Xenopus tropicalis: one gene and its partner. The protein of the gene in region 2 purifies or fractionates together with the protein of the main gene of each other region. This does not show direct contact. Links are inferred from orthologs where the notes say so. Each region holds a gene or a part of one and is shown on either strand. Other genes may lie near its edges.

Evidence for each region. The genes of interacting proteins can lie anywhere in the genome.
Region 1: the proteins of cd151 (region 2) and itgb1 purify together in Homo sapiens (affinity purification with western blotting; 4 studies listed by BioGRID and IntAct, with this or other methods). This does not show direct contact. The link is inferred for Xenopus tropicalis from reciprocal best matches to the Homo sapiens genes CD151 and ITGB1.

The regions. Positions count from the first base shown.
Region 1 is NC_030682.2:22,870,724-22,874,847, forward strand, and holds the start of itgb1 (integrin beta-1 precursor), read left to right. Parts: upstream 1-1,324; 5' UTR 1,325-1,426; intron 1,427-4,124.
Region 2 is NC_030680.2:31,257,974-31,261,473, reverse strand, and holds part of cd151 (CD151 antigen), read left to right. Parts: intron 1-97; coding exon 98-289; intron 290-1,647; coding exon 1,648-1,722; intron 1,723-3,500. UniProt on the Homo sapiens protein: Structural component of specialized membrane microdomains known as tetraspanin-enriched microdomains (TERMs), which act as platforms for receptor clustering and signaling.

The DNA.
Region 1 (4,124 bases), on a different chromosome or scaffold from region 2:
GAAGTGAACAATGGGAGTGATTACAGCCTGAGCCTGAGGTGTGAACACTGCAGGGGGTGAACCATGCAGGTATTAAAAGGTGTGAAAAACACAGGGGATTAAATTTTTAAACAATACAGAGGGATTACAGCCTGAATCTGAGGTGAGAACCATGCAGGGGGCCAGTTAATCTCAGTACTGATACCATTTAATGCTTACTCAAAGGTAAACCATCAAAGCAGCCAGACAGATGGGGGCCACACAGAGGGGGGTCGCGGGCCGCCAGTTGGACAGCACTGCCATAGACCATGGATCCCCAACCTTTTATACCTGTGAGCCACATTCAAGTGGAAAAAGTGTTGGGGAGCAACACAAGCATGGAAATGGTCCCTGGGGGTGCCAATAAGAGCTATAATTGGCTACTTAATAGCCCCTATGTGGACTGGCAGCCTACAGAAGGCTCTGTTTGGCATTATACTGGGTTTTTATGCAACCAAAACTTGCCTCCTTACCAGAAACTCAAAAATAAGCAGCTGCTTTGAAGCCACTGGGAGCAACATCCAAGGGGTTGGGGAGCAACATGTTGCTAAAGAGCCACTGGTTGGGAACCGCTGGCATAGACAGTCACTACTTATTGGCCCGGTGGGGGTGCTACTTTGGCCTTTGCGTACCTGAAATGCCAGGGCCTGATGCTGGGGTACCATTAGAATACGGCGGCACACAGATATTATTGCCACACTTGCCTGACTGGTAAAAATTAGGCTTCATGTCAATGTTATAAATAGATATAAATAAAAATATTGGAAGGCTGGTATTTTTTTCCAGAAAAGGTGGCAACCCTTCAGGCAGATGAACCCTACCCTGGGGATTGCTCGCCTGTGGCCTGAAGAATGAAACAAGAATCAGTAGAAGCGCCCAACAACATACAAACTGCTTTCAGCTACTGACTGCCATCAAACCATGTGGTACCAATAAACTGTACTGTACTACAAGCAAAGCTTATCCCCTGGAGTGTATGCCTATTGAGCTGTGGTACTGGTGCCAAGCTGTGCCAGATATCGGGAAGCGATCCCAGTGCTACTAATCAGACAGTATGGGGCAATAGCCGCCACTACACAGTGGCCATGTGGGAGCCCCTGCCCCCATCCCCCCCCATTCCCACGTAGCCAGTCCCGCCCTCCCACATCCTGACGTCACCGGGCTGGAATGCGCTTCCTGCGGCGCTTCTTGCTCTGGCTGTGCGCGTCCGTGTGAGTGCGGGGGCGCGCTTGTGGTGCGTCAGCGCAGGCTGGGTGCTACTCGGGAGGGGACCGTTACTGAGAGCGGACACTTCATTCAGCGCGCAGACCTGCCTGGGCTCGGAGGCCGCAATCTGAGGCAGCGCTTAGTCTGTGCGATTCAGCCCGGCAGGGCGCCGCTCCTGGGATCCAAGGGCCCCACGCCAAAGGTGAGCCGCCGCTCTGTGTTACCTGCATTCTGGCCCCAGTGTCCGCTCACTTGGTACAGTCTGTGCTTAGGGCATTGCTGCTCCGTATCTGCCTCCCTGTGGGGAATCCATATGGCTTAGAGAAGCCGGGACGTGTAGCAGCTACTTTGCACGCCGGGAGTTGTATTGTTTGTCAGTGATAGGTACAGGGGGGCAGACTTGGGGCTCTACAGCTGCTGGGAACTACTGCATTCACTCGCAGGGGATTGTGGGACTTGTAGTACATGCCACCTGGAGTTTTTCCATTGTGGAGTTTGTGCTTCAGTAGGTAGAGGGTTAATAGAGACTGGGGGAGGGGGTGACCTTGCTTAGGGGCAGCTTCCTATAAACTTTCCTTGTTGTGGGATCCCACCCTTCCAGGGCTGCAGCGCTCTCCCTCCTTAGTTACTGCGCTAATTACATGATCATGTGTGTAGGGGGCTCTGTGTAAGTGAATTGGGTGTCTGGCTGGGACTGTATGTACCCCCCCCCCCATAGAGACAGCAGGGAGTTTCCCTGCAGGAATGTGCACAGAGGGAGGCGGCAGAGGACATCCTGGGAGGGGTGAAGGGGGGGCAGTCTCCTTCTTTCTCTCTTTATTTTTAACAGTAGATCATTACCATAACCATAGATATTATTAACCAGGGCTCAGCCGGCCCACGCTGTCCCCTTTCCCTGTGTGTTCAGTAGGGCGCAGGGTAGTTGTGCCACGGTCACTATAAGTACAATATAGCACTGCTTCATTTGGCTGCTGGCTCCTAACAGAGTCTCCTAAGAGAAGGCGGCCCCCAGGCACGAATAATGGTTTGGCTGACACTGAGGGCACTTATATTGAGTTATGAGTGGGTGCTTGTATGTGGCTTTTTTTATTGAAGCCCGAGCAGCGTTTTAGCCCAGAGGCTTCCGAGGGTGGATGAGTCCCAAAACGTATTCTTGGCAGGGCCGGGTTCAAGGGTGGGTAACAGAGCCTAAATCTGTGCTGGGAACCTTATGAGATTAATGGTGAGGTAATCAGTATGACAAAGGAACTAAAATGTTCTGAAAGCTTGCTGTGATTATCTTAGTTAGCCAATAAAGGTATCGCCTTTATACCACTTTTATTTCTAAAGGGTTACCCTTATAAACATTTTGACTGGCTAACACAGTATATCACCTTTTCCTGCATGGTGAAGATTCAAATATAAATTCATAAAAGAGCTTTTATGAAACTCAGTGTCCCACTTTTCCTATGATTATCTGCCACCCCGGGCAGGCAGGGCCCTTTGTGCAGAGGATCAGGGTAGTCTGGATTATATAGAGGAGCAGCCACATTCTCTTTACAGATACTACACTTCAATTTAGCTGAAAGGACAACAATTACCATTTCCGCCCAGTAGGAGTGTAAAGCCACACTGGGGCTTATTGGCTTTGAGCAGCTGTGCACACAAGGTGCAAATCAGCACTCCCTGTGCCACCAGCACCTTATTTGCACCTTGATGTGACCTGCACATTGTTCATAGGTCCCAAGTGACTCCGTAGTTGTATCTAGGCACTGAGGGTCATTTATAAAATTTGCACAGTGCAGAATTATTCACACAGTGAACGTATTTACTCTACCTGTATTTATATTTATAAAGCTGGACAAGACTGGTGCGTTTAATGGGCAAATATAATTGCGAAATTTTTATTCACAGTGCAAATGCCCTTCAAGTTTTTTAAATATGGCATATTCGTAAATTGCGAATGTTTATGCGCGCAGTCTGTGTCCGCGCTATATTTATTCATAATAAATGGGCACAGAGGGCAAATCGCAGTCTCATTTGCGAATTTTTGTGCGCAATTCACATTTCACTGCGATTTGCATATATCTAGAAGGCATTTCCCTTGTGAGTAGAGGAGGCCATACCGGGCAGATTTTATCTGCCAGTGTGTGGGCACGAACAATGGGTCTGCCCGACCGAGATTTGGCCAATTTCAGGCCAGATGTTGACTGGGCAGGTTTGATTTTTCCGTCGTATCGGGAACCACATTGGCTCGTTGATGTGGCCCCTGTTTTAATTTGAATTCGCCTGATATTGCTCACCCATAGGTGAGTGTATTTGGAGAAGATACGTTTGATTGGTGACCTCGCCATAGAGTGGATCTTACCGTGTATGGCCAGCTTAAAAGTGGTAAAGTGACCCCCCCCTAGACCCTGTCTAAGCTCTAATATGAGCTGTGCTGGTTAACCCAAGATCAAACCTGTATACATCTAATCAAGATGGTGCTACTGAGAATATTCCCTAATATAGGTTTGTGTCAGAGAAAGAGATTTGTCACAGTGATTTATAAGTTAATTATCTGGAATTGTCTCCCCATCTGTGGGCAGCATGTTTTGTTAGGGTTATCAACTACAAATACATACGTTTTTTTCTTTTAGCATAGTGCTATTCTAAGGTAATTTGCAGTTGGTCTTGCATTGGTCTCTGTTTTTTATTTTCGTTCAGCAGATCTTCAGTGTTGAATTTTAGCATCTACCTGGTTGCCAGGGTCCAATTTAAACTAGAAACCAGGCAGTGGTTTGAAAGAGAGAGGGGATTATAGGAGGGCCTTAATAGAAAGATAAGTAATAAAACAATAACAAACTATTGCTCTGTGGGGCTACAGTTTAATTTTTACCTGCTGGGGTCAGCGACCCCCATTTGAAAGCTGGAAAGAGTCA
Region 2 (3,500 bases):
TTTTTTTACAACAAAGTAGTGCAGTTAGCAATATTCTTACATGTAACTGTTATCCTTATTTATTTATTAATTCCCCATTTTCCCCCTCTCTATGCAGTTGGCAGGCCTGGCAGTAATGGCCGTGGGGATCTGGACACTCATTCAGAAAAGCGATTACATTAGTCTTCTGCCTTCCAACACCTATGCAGCCACTGCCTACATTCTGGTCATTGCTGGAGCCATCGTTATGATAACGGGCATCCTGGGATGTTGTGCCACCTTTAAGGAGAGAAAAAGCCTGCTCAAAGTGGTGAGTTGTCACTTTATCAGTCATTGGGTGTGTATGCTTGGGCGGCTTTATGGAATATAGCGAAGTATAATATATTATAAAATCCCTTATATACATTATCATGGTTTTCATTGCTTATTTTGTTACTCATAGCTCTTTGAGCAAGCTTTGATTAGTTGTAAGCTCTTGTGAGCAAGGGTGTGTCTTACTTGTCTGTCATAGAATGCACTTCTTCATATCATGCAATTCTTTAGGGACTTTCTTAATCAATAGTAGCTGGGTATCTGGTTTTGCTGTATACAGACCAGTCACTTAGTAGCTGCAGCCATGTACAATGCCTTATATTTAAGTTTTGGAAATTCACAAGAGGTAAATGCTCTTTATGATAGTAGCTTCTCTGTAGCTTGTACGTAATGGGTCTTTGGGCTAGTCTACCCATCCCTGTAATGCTGGTGTAATGTTAGGAATGCTGGTGGTGTGCGGATCTCTCTCCAGCATGCACTCCTCCCTAAAACTTGCCTGTAACTCTTTCATTACCCCATCTCTTTAATGGCATCCAGTAACAAGCACAGGCTGCTGCCATCTGTTGGTAACATGATAAACTACAGTCTCAAAATGCACATAATGAAAGCTTGTCTTGCTTAGCTAATAAAGCAGGCATACATTTGGTCGCGATTGGTGCAGTTTGGGAGCTGTAGCTTAAAAAATTCACAGCTATCACATCAAGATATAATTATTATGAGCAGCTCAAAGGTTAAGGGCACATGGCAGAAACCTTACAACAACCCCTTAATGAAGGTGTATATGCTAAAACTTTAGGATGTCTGTCACTTGTTGCTGTCTTCTAACATATTTAGCTGCTGGTCTGTATCACTGACTGGGTTTCCCACCACACTGGGTATTAAGTCTGTTTTTTAGTTTGTTTGTTAACTTTGAGAAAAGCTGCAGGAGTAGCCGAAACGTCAGTTCTTCGTTTTTTTCACTTAAAAAACTACTAAAATTCATGATAAGACCTGTGTGACGCGGCCCCTTTTTTGATTGACTTTGAGAAAGGCTGAGGTGTTCAGCCGAAACGTTAGTCCACCATCACATTAAAGGAATCTTTATTTTTTATCTAAGTCCTGTGAGAGCGGTTTCGTCATTTTCGATTTTGTTTCCTGTTTTTTGAGGCTGCACCCAGGCAGTTTATGTGCTTTAAATGTGAGTGCCAGTGGTTTCCATTCTTGTTTATATATATATTAATATATATATATATATATATATATATATTAATAAATATATATATATATATATAAAATCCTTATCTTATGGCGCAACTTTTTTGGGGAAAAAATTTGAAATTTTAATGTAATTAAACTTTTTTTTTTTTTGGTTTTCAGTATTTCATCTTGTTGCTGTGCATCTTTATCCTAGAGGTCCTGGCAGGAATCCTGGCCTATATTTACTACCAGCAGGTAAGCAGCTGCTAAGTGCACACATGCCGGGAAAGGTAGCACAAAGGGGAATGGAATGGAAACTTGCTAGTATTTAGACAGGCAGACCCACTCCCAACTCGCATCTGCAACCAAACTTGGACCTGCTTTTAACTACTACTAAGGTTGAACTTGATAGACGTATGTCTTTTTTTTTAACCTAACTTACTATGTTACTTGCCATAATCCCTACTGCATAATGTAACCCATGGATGTGGCATCACTATAACCAGGACGTGACGTCACTGTGGGATGCAGCTTGCCATGCCACCCTTAAGTGATGTTACCTTACCTCAGAAGTGATAAGTGATGATTTATTAAACAAAAAAAACAGGTGGAATAATTTACTGATTGAGGTCTAGGTGCCCAAGCAAGATCATTTGATTGGGACTTTTCATGTATTCTGAGGGTATCCTACCCAGTCTAATGTAAGGGACTTAGTGGTAATGGACCTTAGGGGGCCTTATGCAATTTGATCTTGAGATATATTGAGTAAAATGCTGATAACCGCACCAAGGCAGTACAGTGTTGAAGGCATAAGGGATTCTCAGCGGAAGTTCCTATTTTAGGGAAACTGTTGTAGTACAAACTCCATATATAGACTTAACTTTAACTATGACAATAATATCTTTAAAGAATAGGTCTGCCATTTGCTGGTTTGTACGTGGCAATGTAACAGATTTTATTCTCTCAGTGGGTCAATTGTGAGCTGGGGATTATTCCAGTTGTAGACTAAAACAAACCTATTTACTCCCTAAGTCTGTTAGCCTAACACCCCTCATTGAGGTCTATTGGTTTCAACCCCTTAGCGCAAGGTTGCAAAATTACTTTTGCTAAATATTAGCAAGTTTGTAATTATTACAAGATATGGGCACTGCAGGGCTAGAAGAGAATTTACCTGTATACTGGTGCCCAGCAGGTTGAGTCCTTGGAACGCTCTCACATTATGGATTCACTTTGAAACAATAAGGAGTTTTAAAATACTGACCCCATTTCTATTTGCTTGTTAGGGCCACTGTACCTAGGTGGTGGCACATTTTAGGGTGAAGGACATTTCCTAACCTCATGGATCCCCAAAACCTTTCTCTCCCTTAATGCTTAGTGCTTTTTGTGCCTGGCTTTGACAGATACAGCTGCCTCAGATTCCTGTCGTGCATGGGTGGTGTGTATCACCCTTTCTTTAGGAGGATAAGTACGGATATGCCAAGTATACTAGTGCTTTTAGCTAATCTAATCTGTATTTAATTACACTCTACCCTGCAGGCATTTAAAGGCAAGAAAATGTCTTGGTGCAGTGGGAAAGATTATAAACTTGGCAGCAGATCACTTACCAACAGGGTTTTCTTAATTACATGGAAAGCATATTCTCTGTCCAAAATCGCATCATGTGTTAACGTCACCATTTTCATGGGAAAGGAGAGGAATTTCTGATATCATTCCAATAATTTTTAAAAGATGTGCCCATCCCACTCTGGCACCAAGGATAATTCCATGGTTGAAAAATACTAAATTACTAGGCGTATTTTACTCTAGAATTACACCAACCAGCAATTCATTCAGTTGCAGTAAGACTAATACAAGCAGCAGTCTGATTGGTTGCTATAGGTAACTATTTTGGAGAAAAATTTATTAGATTCAAATTAGATACACTTTCAACAGAATTTGAATGAATCCCCAAAATAAACACTTGGCATTTCTGGGTTCAAACGATGTTTTCTTACTGAATCAGTCGAAGTTCCAAGCACCGGTTCAGTATCCCT